Coturnix japonica: one gene and its partners. The protein of the gene in region 2 purifies or fractionates together with the protein of the main gene of each other region. This does not show direct contact. Links are inferred from orthologs where the notes say so. Each region holds a gene or a part of one and is shown on either strand. Other genes may lie near its edges. The genes, in order: TIMM13, MAP3K14 and CAD.

Region 1 (3,914 bases), on a different chromosome or scaffold from region 2:
GACAAACAATAGCACAAAAGGACCTTCCTGTGCTCCCTCTGCTGGGGAGGAACCAGGCCTGGGTCACCTTCCCAGTGCAGGTCTCTCCCTCTGGCACATGATTAAAGCTACAGCGACCCCTCTCCTACACATGCTGTATTACTGTGTGCTCTGCACCAAGCTAACAACAACCCTTGTCTCCTCAGGCCTCATGACAAAGCATCTGCAAAAAGCAGCAGTGAATGTGATTGGAGACCAGGACTGCAAAAAGTTCTACCCTGTCCAGATCAGCAGCAGGATGGTGTGTGCTGGGTTCCCACACGGCACCGTCGACAGTTGCTCAGTGAGTGTGAGAGCAGCAAACGGTGCTGTGGGATGGAGCAAACTCATGCCAAGTCCCCATGCCCCCCCCCAGCCCAGCTGCCCATCCCACAACCTCCCCCTCCCACCCCCTCCCCCAAGTCCATCCCACACACGCTGTGCTCTGTGTATCCCACCAACCTGGTCAGCTCAGGGATACAAACAAAGGTAACACCAGACAGGGCACCGTGAGGGTGTCCCATTGCACAGCCCTGCTGCAGCTCTGGAGATGTCTCAGTGTCCCAGTCTCTGTGCACACAAATGCAGCACTGGGCTCCTGCAGAGGTGGGCAACGGGACAGCAAATGTTCCTGCATCAGACAGCAGAATCATAAGCACGGGGCTGGGCTGGCTCTGTTGTCTTGTTTTGGTACAGGACCCTTCCCCTCTCTCTGCAGGGTGATGCAGGTGGGCCCCTGGCATGTAAAGAACCCTCAGGACGGTGGTTTCTAGCAGGAATCACGAGCTGGGGCTATGGCTGCGCCCGGCCGTTCTTCCCTGGGGTCTACACCAAAGTCACCGCGGTGCAGGGCTGGATCGCGCAGAACCTCAAGCTCTGGAGCTGAATTTCACCACTCAGGGAAGGTGCCAACGAGAGGAATAATGGCCAGGGGCCGCACGGAGCCCACCAGCACCACCGGACACCTCTGGGATGCTGCAAAGGAGTGAAGATGGGCTGCGAGCACGAAGCAAACGCTCGTGTGCTGTGACCCGCAGACAGCGGGACCATCTGATAACTGCTTTGCTTAGAAAGATGGCTAGACTTTGGTTTTTGTCTATAAATAAATGAGACTTGTCCCACCTTCAGACCTGGCGACATCCTGTGCATTAACAGCTGCCCTTCCCGGCCTGAACTCGGTGCAGCCGGCAGGAAGCCCTGCCCCCCCCCCACACTGCGCCCATCACCCGGCACCGGGCTCAGGGCGGAACCTCTCGGTGCAATAAAAGCCGGAGGCAGCGCAGGGTCAGGGCGGTGTAACGGGGTTTATTGCCGCCGGCTCCGCGCTCCGACCCGTCTCACATGTTGGTCTCTCCCATGTTGTCTCTCTCACATGTTATCTCTCTCTCTCCCATGTCGGCTCTCTCACATGTTATCTCTCTCTCTCACATGTTGTCTTTCACATGTTGGCTCTCTCCCGCTGCAGCCGGGAGTTGTAGGCTCTGGACACCGCGTTCCAGGCGTCCATGTACCGGTCCATGCACATGGCGATGCATTTCTGCGGCACACGGGGCGGTCATGGAGGATCCCGGGGGTCGCCGCCCGCCCCGCGCCGCGTCCCCCCGCCCCGCTCACCTGCTCCGAGTTGTCCAGCGCCCCGCCGGGTTTCCCGATGCATTTCCGAAAGCATTTGTCCGTCATTCGCTGCGGGAACAGCCGTCAGCAGCCGCGGGCACAACGACCCCCAGCCCCCCCCCCCCCCCCCCCCCCCCCCCCCCCCCCGTGCTGCCGCGGCTCCGTCCCCGCCGGTCCCGACCTGCAGCAGCTCCTGCGCGTTGGCCACGGCGATCTGCACCTTCACCTGCTCCATGATGAGCCCCGGGTCCAACTTGCCTCCCCCGCCGGCACCGGAGCCGAAATCGGAACCGAAGTCGGAGCCGAAGCCGCCCTCCATGGCTCGCGGTCCCGGCGGGGCGGCAGCGCAATGGCGGCCCAAGAACTACGGCTCCCGGCGCCCCGCGTGGCCCGGAACGGAACAGAACGGAACGGAACAGATCGGACCGGAACAGACCGGAACAGAACGGAACGGAACAGAACGGACAGGAACGGACCGGAACAGCGGCCGTGCGCGTCCCCGCGGCGGCAGCGCGGAGCTGAGCTGGGCGGCACCGCGTGGCCGCGGGTCGCAGCTCGCGGTGCTCGGTGTGAGCAGCGCCCAGCAGCGCCCGGGGCTCAGTCTCAGTCCTGCTCCCATCGCTGACAACAGCCCGGCCGCCATTTGTCCCCTCGGGCACCTGGACGCAGTGCTGGCTCCCATTCAGCCCATGTCCATCACTGTCCATCAGCACAAGGCCCCTTTCCAGCCCCCCCTCCCTCATCATTGATCAGACAAAAGGAAACCAATAAAATGCAAAACATTTATTTGAGTGTGTTGTACAAAAAGTTTCCAGTCTTAAAATGTATATTACAAATCATTGTAAAAGACACGACGTTTGGCATGCATATCCTAAAGAGAAAGAAAGAAAATAATCCCACAACGATGTGAAATGGTAACGCCCAGAGCACGATGCAGCACCATGAGCTGCATGGAACGCTCCCATCATATTCACACACTGCATCACTATTCCTGCCATTAAATAGAATGAGCGTTTTGAACTGCGTGGGGATGCAGAACCAAACCCACAACTGGATCACGAGGCATCACCGTCATTGTTATGAACAGGGTTGAACAGCCCGCCCAGCTGTACAGCATTGTGGCCTGACCTTGCTTTGAGATGGGTTATTGCTCATGGTTTTAGTGTGATGAACGTGGGCAGCTGATGCACAGCAGCATTTACCTTACAAAGGATCATCGCTTTGATAACAATAAACAGGGAAACGTGGGTCCATCCGCCACCCCCTGCACTGAGCGTCCAGTTACTGAGCGTCACCTGCTGCTCGTGTGGTTCTGAATGGAGCCATTTGCCCCATTCACGCTGTAGCCGTTAGCATTTCAAGGAAGGCATTACGCTTACAAATGATAATTGCATGTAAATATGATTTGTATAAAAAAAACAAACACTTAAATTATTTAAAGTGGTTTAAAGCTAAGCACATTGAAGGGCAATTCAAAATTCTGTTTCCCAGGCCATGTCAGACATTGGACAAACGGCCACCTCCCATTTGTCAGCTCCAACAGGAATCCAATAATGCAATCACGGTCCCACCTTCCACTCACTGGGTTACAACAAAGCTCCACCCCCTGCGTGCACAGGGCTCGTGGTTTGGACCCAACAGTGGCAATGAAATCCAGAATGGAACACGGATTCACAGAGATTGTAAAAAGAAAATAGAGAATGAATGGCTTAAGGAAGGGAGAGAAGTGCCTCGAGTGCTCACAACACACAGTGTTGGCACACAGCATTGGATCTTCTTAGTGCACAAAAGAAAAAGGTTCTCACACGTTCTGGGGGGCAGAGAGGATTTCTAGGTGCCTCTTCAAGCACCCCCTGCTCAGGCTGCAGCTAAAGGGATTCACACAGGATTACAAAGAAAAAGGGTGCATAAAAAACACTGCAATCCCTGAACTGAACATGAGGTGTCCTGTTGCTCGAGGATAAACGTGCTCATGAAGGGAATCTCCTTTCACAGTATGTTCTGCTTCACGCTGCAATACGGCTTCGGTGACAAACGAGAGCTGCAGACCAGCTGGTCTGGCTTTCCCATTACAGCCCATGGGAAGCAGATGTTTGTTTTCTTCCTGAGACTATTGATTCCTGCTCCAAACACAAGCAGTGGCAGCGAGCACCTATCTAAGGGCAGAAGGGTGCTGAGGGTGAGTGTATCAGCTGCTGGTTGTCAGGGCCTGAAGCAGCCCATGCACACAGACCGTGAGCTAAAGGTGTGCAGCAGCAAAGGAACCACAGCTGCTCCATTGC
Region 2 (5,763 bases):
CCCCCACCTGACCCCCTCTCAGCATTTCTACCATTATTAGTATTGTAGAACGCTCCTCAGCAGCAGCCAAGAGCACAGGCAGGACTCTGTGATGCATTTCCTGCCATCACAGCGCAGCAGCCATGCACTGCTCTGTTACTCCGTGCCATTCAATAATGCTGCCACATTATTAAGAGGTTTCATGCGCTGCCTAAATAGAGCCCAGGATGTGTCAGCAGCTCCACCCCACGTGGGATTACAAATAGATCCCAGCTGGGCTCCCCAGGAGAGTGAAACCGCACACCGCCTCGCGCGGCCCTTCTCAATGAACAGCAGCGCTCCCTGCTACTCACACTCTGCCTGGGCAATAATGGAGATGGACGCGCAGCCTCCTTCTGTTTCTTCTTTTGCTGTTCCTTTGGTGATGACGTCGTTGAGGATTTTCCACTGGCTGTGGAAGATGGCTTTCTTGGAATCCTCCACTTTGCAAACGCTGCTTTGCTTCTCGCTGGCGGCCTCGTGCAGCCCTTTGGTGGCACTGAGCTCCTGCTGCTGCTTGGTGGGCGGAGCGGGAGCTCCATGGCACACAATCCCCATCACTGCCATTTCACAGCTTCACAGCCCCTAATGAGGAATGGGAAAATAAAAGCACAACACTCATTATAACACCTCCCAGGCAAAGCAGCTCCACACTCGGGAGAAAAAGAAGCCTGCCCACGGCGTCCATTAACACTGATCCAATGCAAAGCAAGGCTCGACGCAGCGCTGAGCATGGAAGCCAAGACAAACCCACCCCCACCAGCTCCCACGCGGGGCTGTACCCCATCATCACAGCCACCCCTGCCCCTTCTCTACAGAAATCAAGGCAGATCTCAGGGCTGTAAAACAATCCCTCGGAGCAGCAGAAGCCGGCAGCAGATGACTAACAGTGAGCCTGCAGCGCACACCAACAGGCTCAGAGCTATTTTTACACTCACTGCTGCCCCGTCTGCATTAACTCTGTCCCTCCTTGCCCTCTCCTCACCTTCAGGGGCTGCAGAGCAAAGCCCTGCCCACCCCTGAGAGCGCGCAGCTCTGCAAGGTGCTCCTCGGTTAAAAGGTAATAGAGGGAGGGGAGATGTGGAACCGCAACCGCCTGATAAGGAAAGGAGCAGCACGGGAACATCGATGGGAGTGAAATCTGAAGGGGGAACCTCACTGGGCAGCACACAAAGCTCATGTGGGTCGATGGGGCACTGTGGGCTCCGGAGCTGCCAGCTCCAAGCACTGCCATCCAACCTGCAGGCTTTACAGGACCCCAAAACCAATGTGCAGCTCAGAGCACCTGGGAGCTGTGATGAAAAGGAACCGATGCAGAACTTCTACATAATGGCTGCAGCAGATGAGCAGCTCAGGATGGACCACGCAGCACTGAGCCCCATGATGCTCCAATGTAAGTGCTGTGAGCTGTGAGCTGTGCCCCCCATCCTGCCCTCCTGCACTGAGCGCACCTGGCGCTGCGGGTCCCAGCTCTGCTGCTTTCAGAACCTCCTCTGGCTCATCCACATCACTGAGACTCAACTCTTGATTTCAGTACCCCTGGCTTCCTTCCTTCCTCCTGCAGATGTGTGCACGGGCTCGTGCTTTGCCAGAGGAAAAGGAGAGGTCAGGTAACGAGGCACTAAGTGAAGGCGAGCGCTGCAGCACCGATCCACGCAGGGCCCTGGATGGCAGCGGGAAGGGTTGTTGAGGAAGGCTGCAGCTCTCAGCCCGTTAACCAACGTCAGTTCTCACTGCTGTAAAATAGAAAGTGCAGTTGTACAGAACGAAAGCCGACATGGTATCAGTTGTGCTGCGGCAGCACCGGCACAGAGCTGACGGCTTCCGCTGGGAGCTGCATGGGGCTGCGGGGCACAGAGCAGTGCTGCGGGGCTTCCTGCTCCTTCCACCTTCCCCCCAGCAGCTCCCCGCTGCCCCTTCCCACCCCAGCAGTGTCCTGCATTGCACACAGCTCTGCTCTCCCAATCTGAGTGTGCTGCAGCTGCTTCATGTTGACATTTCACGTCGTCTCCATGAGGTTTCCCACTTCCTTATTGAGAAGAGCGCGATGAGCAGCGCTGACTTGGGGACTCCACCAACACAACACAATGCCCTCAGCTCCAGCAGGACAAGGCTGGGCTGCCACGTTGGGGCTCCAGCCCAAACTCAGGCGGTTCCGTTCCCAGCAGCGTCAGCTCACAGCATGTTACTGCAGCGCAGAGCAGCTCCGTGCTGACGGGAGGGAGAAGTTTCGCTTTGTCTCAGTAGGGATTGAGAAAAGAAAGCTGCAGCGCTCAGCACACGCCCCTTGTCCTTAACTCACACACTGCGCACGCAAAGAGAGGAGAAAAGACTTCCTGGAGGTACGAGGAGCTCCGGGCTGGGAAGGAGCACAGGCTGCAGGGCAGCAGCCAGAGCAGGAGGTGCAATGCTGGGCTGCTCCTCACACTGTGCTGCCTCCTCTGTACGGTGCTGCCTCCTCTGCATGGTGCTCCCATGGCCTGATGGCTCCCATTGCCCTCCAGCTGTGCAGGACTCCCGGTGCTGTCAGTGAGGTTTGTTACAGACACCTCCTGTTCCACTGGTTTGATGGCAAGCACTGCAAGCTCCTATTTCTGCTTACCCTGGGATGGAGAGCACCAGTATCCACCCGGCCCTCCTGCAGCCGGGACACAAGAGCTGCAGGGAAACATCCGTGAGCAGAACTCCATGTACCAACCATCTGTCGCTGTTTCCCTCAGCACGAGTCCCTTCATGAGCAGAGATGTGAATGGCAGCGTGTCCCCATGTGTTTGATGCACTCAGCTTTCCCAGCTCAGAGCCCACCGCCAGCACTCTGCCCTGCAGCCCATGGGACACAGCTGCACCCGGCTGGGTCACCCCCAGCACCGAGTGGATCCGAACCAGCTCCGTGCTGTCAGCAGGGCCCAGCGCTCACTGTGACACCGCAGCACAGCCCGAGCCTTCCAACTCACACCTACAGACACCAAACAACCCCAAAGTTCTGCCCAGCTCAGCACACATGGAAGCTCCTCAGCGTTATAAGGGCCGGGTACCGGCCGGGCCGCCCTTCACACGCGCTGAGCCCGGAGCGGCCCAAGGGAAGCGGCGATCCCAGCTCGGCCCCGCCACAACGCGCCGCGTTTCACAGCTCGAAGCGGGTGAGTCACCAACGAGGAATTCAAAGGCAGCGCCACGACCGGGCAGCGGCACGGCCTGAACGGCGGCACGGCCTGAACAGCGGCACCGGCCCGAACGGCGGCACGGCCCGAACAGCGGCACGGCAACGGCACGGCACGGCACGGCCCGGCCCGGCCCGCCCCGGCCCGGCTTGAGGTAAGGCGCTCCTCGTCCCCGCCCCGCCCCAGGCCCACCCCGCATACCCCAGCCCCCTGCCCCGCTGACCCTGTTCCCGCAGCCCTCCCTCCCTCCCTCCCTCCCTCCGGTACCGGCCGATCTCGTCGCTCCTCCGCGCTCCGGTCTTCGGTGCCGCCCGCCCCGCACACACCCCGTCCGTCCCGCCGTCCGTCCCGCCGCTCCCTCACACTGACAGGCGCGGGCGCCGCCGGTCCCGCCCCATCCGCCTGGCAGCCAATCACCGCGCTCCGATCCTCCTCTTGCCCCGCCCATTCTCCTCCCGCTCCGCCCCGCAGCCAATCGCCTCCCTTCGTTTTCTCTCGCCCCGCCCCATCTGACCCGCGGCCAATCACCGCCCAGGATTCCCTCCCCGCCTCCCGGCCGGTTTCCCGGAAGGGCGGAGCTTCCGGCGAACAGCCCCGCCCACCGCCTCGTGCAGGTGGTACTGCGCACGCGCGGTTTGTGGGCGCGCATGCGCAGAGCGAGCGGTGGGCGGGGCGGAGCTGCGGGGCTGCGGGTCGGTGTGAGGGGGAGGGGCGGGTGGTGCCATGAAGGGAGGAGGGGCCGGGCTGAACGGGCCGGGCTGAACGGGACGGGCACGGAACCAATAATGCTGCGGCACCGCCCCCCCCCCCGGCTGTGTAGCACAAACTGCTCCCGTGCCCCGCAGCTCCACCTTTGTGCCCTGCAGCACCTAGCCCATATCCCCACATATCCCCCATATCTCCCTATATCTCCCCATATCTCCCCATATCCCCCCATATACCCCCCGTGTCCCCCCGTGTCCCCCCATATCCCCCCCCATAGGACCCCTGTGACCCCATATCCCCCATTATCCCCTATATCTATATCCCCCATATTCTCCTCCGTGTCCCCATATCCTCTGTGTCCCCATATCCACCTCCCGTGTCCCCTTGTCCCCCCATATCCCCCCATATCTTCTCCGTGTCCTCATATCCCCCCTTATCCCCCTATATCCTATATCCCCCCATATCTCCTCCGTCTCCCCATATTCCCCTCTGTGTCCCCCTCTGTGTCCCCATATCCCTCCATATCCCCCCAGTGTCCCCATATCCCCCCCGTGTCCCCTTGTTCCCCCATATCTCCTCCGTGTCCCCATATCCCCGCCCAGTGTCCCCTTGTCCCCCCACATCCTCCCATATCTCCTCCGTGTCCTCATATCTCCCCATATCCCCCTATCCCCCATATCCCCCCGTGTCCCCATATCTCATCTGTGTCCGCGATCCCCCCGTGTCCCCATATTCCACCATATTCCCTCCGTGTCCCCATATCCCCCGGTGTCCCCATATCCCCCTCCCTGTGTCATATCCACCATTACCTTCGATGTCCCCATATCCCCCCCGTGTCCCTATATCCCTCCATATCTCACCATATCCCCCTCCCCGTGTCCCCATATCCCCCGTGCCCCCATTATATCCCCTATTACCCCCATTATATCCCCATCACACACTGGACGCCGCCTGAGGTTTGCGGCGGATTCTCCCGCTGTCCCGGCTCTGGGCGCAGCGTTACGGTCACAAACTCAGCCCCCCCCTCCGCTCCGAACGGACCCTCCGGCGATAACGGAGCTGGTTCGGACCGTGGGTGTCGGCAAAGAACTCGCAGCGTCCGCTGCTCACAAAGGGAACACGGAGAAGCGCTGCCTCGCGGCGGGGTTTTCAATGCAGGGACGGACGGAGCGGCCCAACTCCGGGTTGTGCTGCAGGGATCGAAGTTCGGGGCGAACGCGAACGGAGCGAGAGTGAGAACCGCTGTTACGGTGCGCGATGAACCGGCTGCATCCGCTCCTCCGTGAGCAGCTCACCGCGGTCACAGCGTTACACGGGGATGGACGGGGCAGCAAATGGCCCAAAGGTTTCACTTCCCGGCTCACACGGGCGGGTCTGACATCCACCCCCACGCGTGGGGCGCAGCTTTGGATGCTGCATCGTGCAGGGCTTTAACGCCGGGTTGGCGAACATCGTGGTGCTGCATGGACAGACCTGGTGCTCCCTCGGGCTCCCTGGAGGTCGTGTCGTGTCGTATCGTGTCGTATCGTGTCGTGTCGTGTCGTGTCGTGTCGGTGCTCTTTAGAACAGCGCTGCTCTGTGTTTGCAGGCGCTCCGTCACAGCTCCTCCCTCCCCAAGGCAGAAGCAGCGCTTCATGCAGGTCGCTTTCATTCCCACTCGCTGTGATCCTCACTGAGCAGAGCCCCACACCTCGCAGTCCATCACAGAGCTCTGCCACGCGGCTGCTCCGGGGTTAAAAAGAGCAGAAATGGCCACAACGATCCCTGCGCTGCACGCAGCGGCTCTGCTGATGGCTGCTGTGGGGTGCGGGATGGCTCTGATGCTGATCACTGTTATCGCCTTCAAACTGAACTTCGTGTTCTCCACTTCGTGGCTTGA
Region 3 (4,515 bases), on a different chromosome or scaffold from region 2:
GCCCCCGTGGGCCTCGCTGGCTGCAGGGCCGCTCGCTGCAGGCAGAGGCCACGAGGTCACCATTGCAGGCACGTGCTGCTGCTGCCGGGCTCAGGCTCTGCTGGCATCCTGGCCCCCAGCCCGAGCTGCGGGAGGTAAAGTGCTGCCCCGCAGCTCTCACCGCTGCTGGCTGCCCCCAGAGCAAGCGGCTGCCAGGAACATCCCCAGCCTGGCCCCGGCTGCAGCTCCGTGTTGGGTGAACAGCGGAGCTGCGCAGTAGGACCGGAGCTCAGGGCTGGAGCGTGGGGGGCTGCAGCGCTTCAGGTGAGCCCAGGCACAGCCCCTCCTTGGCCACCCAATGCCACTGAGCACTGAGGGCTGCTGGCCCATGGGCTCCAGCGGGGAGCAGCGACGGTGGGGGAGGTAAGTCTGTAACAGTGTGTTCCCAGCTCCACCCCCCCGGCCCAGCCCGGCCCCTCAGGACACGGCGGCACACGGGGCGGGCGCAGCAAACAGCGGCTGCCAGGCGGTGAGCGGCATCCCGGCGGATCAAATATAACAGCGGGGCGGGGATGGAACCAACAGCCTCAAACAGCGGCTGGACACACGCACCGTAACGTCACCGTAGGGAACGGGGGGATGGGAACGGGGACACCGCCCGCCCCGGACACGGAGGGACACAGCTCCTCCCATCCCCACTGAAGAGTGAGCAATACTCACACTCGCAAGTCACCACGGCCCCCCATTACCCCACCACCCCCCGCCCACAGGGTGGTGTCGCGGTGCATGGGGGCAGGCCGGGCCCTTACCGGCGGTCAGCGCCTCAACGGCCCCGGGCCGCCGAGCCAGGAGCCGCCGCAACGCCGCCATGCCGCCCCCACCGCCACGTGAGACGGCGCGGAGTGATGACGCGGTGCCAGCAAGGCAAACGATTGGCTGAAATGAAGAGACGCGCCGTCGCAGTTTATTGTCGTCAGTAGCGGCCCAGCACAGTGGCCAGCAGCGCCATCCGCACGTACATGCCCTGCTCCGCCTGGCGGAAGTACGCGGCGCGAGGGTCCGAGTCCACCTCCACGCTGCGGGCGGGACGTCAGCACCCAGACACAGCACAACCCCCAACCACCCTCAGAACGGAGGAGGCCAGGACACAGCCCCAACCCCCAGACCACAAACTGGAGGCACCCCCCACTCAGACCCCATTCACCCCCACTCAGACCCCATTTACCCCCACTCAGACCCCATTCACCCCCACTCAGACCCCATTTACCCCCATCCAGACCCCATCTACCCCCATCAGACCCCATCTACCCCCATCCAGACCCCATTTACCCCCACTCAGGCCCCATTTACCCCCATCCAGACCCCACTTATCCCCATTCAGATCCCATTAACCACCATCCAGACCCCACCTACCCCCATTCAGACCCCATTTATCCCCATCACCTCAGATCTCCCTCCTCACCAGGACAGGCCCCGTCCCTGTGCCCTCAAACCTCTGCCCCCAGGACCCCCCCTCCTGCTTGCAGCCCCCCCAGGCTCCCATTTCCCTCCTCACCTGCATAGCACCCCCCCCTCGCATCCCCTTTTCTCCCCCGCCAAAGCCTCTATCTCCCCACCATTCCTCCCCCTCCAGCTGGACTCCATAACCCTCCATGCCCCCCCTCCCCCCAAAAGACAGCTCACCCCAGCCCCACCTGATCTCGTTGACACGAGGCATGGGGTGCATCACCACCATCTTTTCCTTGGCCCTCGTCATGATGTGTGGTGTGAGGATGAACTGTCCAAAGCACTGCAGGGCCACAGCCATCAGCAAGGGAATGGGGACCCTCCCAGCCCTCCATCCCACCCTATACCCAGCCTGTACTCACAGCCTCGTACTCCTCAGCACTCTCAAAGCGCTCCCGCTGGATGCGGGTCATATAGAGCACGTCGGTGTCGGGCAGCGCCTCCTCGATGCTCCCAAACTCCTCCTGGGACAGCACCATCAGCAGGGCCATGGGGTGGTCACAGCCCTGCAGCCCCAGCCCCGTCCCTCACCTGCGAGATGCCCTTGGAAGCCACGAAGGCAGCGATGTCGGGCGGCATGCCGAGGCCACGGGGCGTGACATAGCGCAGGTGGACACGATACTGTGTGAGCAGGCGGGCCAGCGAGTGCACCGTGCGCCCGTGCTTCAGGTCACCCACCATGGTGATCTGCAGGGAGAGCCGTCAGCACAACCCACGGCACAGCACCCACCGCCCCGCGGCACAGCGTACATCTCACCGTCATGCCATTGACAGTGCCCAGCTCCTCACGGATGGTGAAGATGTCCAGCAGTGCCTGCGTCGGGTGCTCGCCCACCCCATCACCAGCATTGATCACGGGCTTGCGGCAGTGCGTAGCGGCCAGCTGGGCATAGAATGGGCCAAGAGTGAAACCCCCACACATACCCTGATGGCACCAGGGCAGGACACAGCCCTGCCCCGCTCACCTCCACAGCTCCAGGCTGGGGGTGCCGCAGCACCAGGACGTCGGCGTAGCAGCACATGGTCTGCACAGAGTCAGCCAACGACTCGCCCTTCTGCACCGAGGAGGTGGCCTCGGAGAATGACACCACAGAGCCGCCCAGCCGGCACATGGCGGCCGCGAAGGAGCTGCTGGTGCGCGTGCTTGCCTCGTAGAACATCGATGCCATCACTTTGCCCTGCAGGATGTGGTGTCAGGCGTGGGGCGAGGTGAGGGGCACGCAGCGTTCGTTCCCTACTCACCTTGAGGATGTCCAAACTGCGCTCCTTTTGCACCAGCATGCGCAGGGTGTGCGCCACGTTGAAGAGATGTGACATCTGTGGGGAGAAGCGGCTCAGGACGGGCACCCGGCACCAAGACCACCCCCTCCCTGTGCCCACCTGGCACCCACCTGCTCCTTGGAGAACTGCCGCACGGAAAGGATGTGCTGCCCGACCAGGGGGTGCAGCAGAGGTGAGGTGGGGAAGTGGGGAACACCTTGGGGGGATGCCTGGCGTGGGAAGGGGCCCGACAAGTGGGGGTGGCTGTCCTGAGCGGCCGTCGCATCTGTGGCACCAGGAACATACAGTGAACCCACATTGATGCATGCAGAATTCTCAGCCCCCCATTACTCACCTCCTTCTGCCATCCTCCTGCCGGCCTTGTCCCGCATGTCCTCAGCTGAGCATGAGAGGGGAATGCAGTGTCAGAGCGCAGCACTCCCGGCACCCTCAGCACCGCAGACGCGACGCTACAGAGATGCTTGCCCCAAAACGAGCTGGGTCAAGCCCCCATGCCATGCTCCACATGCACCCCATGGAACCCAATGGGACACAGCCCTGATCCTGGGAGGCACAGGGCCCCGAGGTGCCGGGCAGGCTGGGGCTGAGCAGGAAGGGAGCACCGCCGTGCCCCATCCCAAAGACTCAGCCCCTCGCAGGGGCAGCACAGGGGCCCGGGGCTGGCACGGCACCTGGGGGGGGCTGCACTCATTGGCTGTGCTTATAGTGCCATAACGCGGGGCTGAGTGAGTCCCCCCCAACATTACCGGTGCCTCGGGCGCCCGGGCGGTGCACGGCTCCCAGCCTCCGGAACACTGAACGGGACACAAGGGCAGGGTCAGCGCGTTGCCCAGCCCCGACGCAGCTCCCACACGGCCACATGCACGCTGTCCCCATGCGCCGTGCTGTGCCCCCCCCTCACCTGGCAGACCAGGGTCAGAGGCACGGTGGATGCGGGGTGGGAGGTGGAAGCGGCCCTCGGGCATGGGGCCGGCACGGCGTGGGCTGGAGGCTCGGCTGCGCAGCGTCTCACCCACTGCTGTGTGCCGGGGCCGCTCAGGGGTCTGCAGAGAGAGGATGAGCTGGAGCAGGGCACAGGTTGTGCCCCCGTGGCACCCTGCACCCCATTACCTTCACAATCTCCTTGTTGGGGGCCACGAGCGGTGCCAGCACAGCTCCCATGGGCCACTTCCTCACATCCTGCCCGTAGCCAGGGGGTACCAGGACCTGTGGCCACAGACAGAGGGGATCAGTGCTCAGAGACCCTTAGCTGAGGGGAGTTGGTGCCCAGGGACTCCTGGATGTAGGGGAGCAGCACAGTGTGTGGCACTTGGTTCCCACCTGCCCATCGATGTAGGCGACCTCTCCGCGCAGCACCACCCTGCGCACTGTCCCCTTCACATTCCTGCCCTCAAAGGGTGTCCATTGCGCTTTGGAGAACGCAGTGTGCTTAGGGATGACCCACTCTTGCTCCAAGTCCACCTGCAGGGACACTGGTCAGAGTCCAGGGCTGGCTGTGGGGTGGGCAGTGGGGCAGCGACCCACCTCCACGTAGGTGTCCTCCTGTGCTGGCAGCCCAAAGATCTTGCGGGGGTTCTCGTAGAGGCGCAGGATGATATCCTCCACTGTCAGCCGCCCCTCAGAGACAGCAGTCAGCAGCAGAGGCAGCATGGTCTCCAGCCCAGGGAAGCCAGGAGGTGGCTTGGGGCCCTGCTTCTCCTCCAGTGTGTGTGGGGCTGCAGGGTGGGGATCGTTACCACATTGCTTGGC

What was found.
Region 1: the proteins of MAP3K14 (region 2) and TIMM13 purify together in Homo sapiens (affinity purification with mass spectrometry; 3 studies listed by BioGRID and IntAct, with this or other methods). This does not show direct contact. The link is inferred for Coturnix japonica from reciprocal best matches to the Homo sapiens genes MAP3K14 and TIMM13.
Region 3: the proteins of MAP3K14 (region 2) and CAD purify together in Homo sapiens (affinity purification with mass spectrometry; 3 studies listed by BioGRID and IntAct, with this or other methods). This does not show direct contact. The link is inferred for Coturnix japonica from reciprocal best matches to the Homo sapiens genes MAP3K14 and CAD.

Annotation. Positions count from the first base shown.
Region 1 is NC_029543.1:221,759-225,672, forward strand, and holds TIMM13 (mitochondrial import inner membrane translocase subunit Tim13), read right to left. Parts: upstream 2,051-3,914; 5' UTR 1,952-2,050; coding exon 1,814-1,951; intron 1,702-1,813; coding exon 1,633-1,701; intron 1,556-1,632; coding exon 1,457-1,555; 3' UTR 1,304-1,456; downstream 1-1,303. Other genes in the region: TMPRSS9 (transmembrane protease serine 9), read left to right, coding at 186-511. UniProt on the Homo sapiens protein: Mitochondrial intermembrane chaperone that participates in the import and insertion of some multi-pass transmembrane proteins into the mitochondrial inner membrane.
Region 2 is NC_029542.1:891,548-897,310, forward strand, and holds the start of MAP3K14 (mitogen-activated protein kinase kinase kinase 14), read right to left. Parts: upstream 3,569-5,763; 5' UTR 3,447-3,568; intron 3,199-3,446; exon of another isoform or gene 1,470-3,198; intron 604-1,469; 5' UTR 586-603; coding exon 333-585; intron 1-332.
Region 3 is NC_029518.1:95,408,142-95,412,656, reverse strand, and holds the end of CAD (CAD protein), read right to left. Parts: intron 4,482-4,515; coding exon 4,291-4,481; intron 4,228-4,290; coding exon 4,087-4,227; intron 3,973-4,086; coding exon 3,877-3,972; intron 3,810-3,876; coding exon 3,668-3,809; intron 3,561-3,667; coding exon 3,513-3,560; intron 3,146-3,512; coding exon 3,101-3,145; intron 3,032-3,100; coding exon 2,877-3,031; intron 2,803-2,876; coding exon 2,728-2,802; intron 2,664-2,727; coding exon 2,451-2,663; intron 2,369-2,450; coding exon 2,243-2,368; intron 2,173-2,242; coding exon 2,017-2,172; intron 1,950-2,016; coding exon 1,848-1,949; intron 1,769-1,847; coding exon 1,674-1,768; intron 1,056-1,673; coding exon 953-1,055; 3' UTR 917-952; downstream 1-916. Other genes in the region: protein Mpv17, read right to left, coding at 789-849. UniProt on the Homo sapiens protein: Multifunctional protein that encodes the first 3 enzymatic activities of the de novo pyrimidine pathway: carbamoylphosphate synthetase (CPSase; EC 6.3.5.5), aspartate transcarbamylase (ATCase; EC 2.1.3.2) and dihydroorotase (DHOase; EC 3.5.2.3).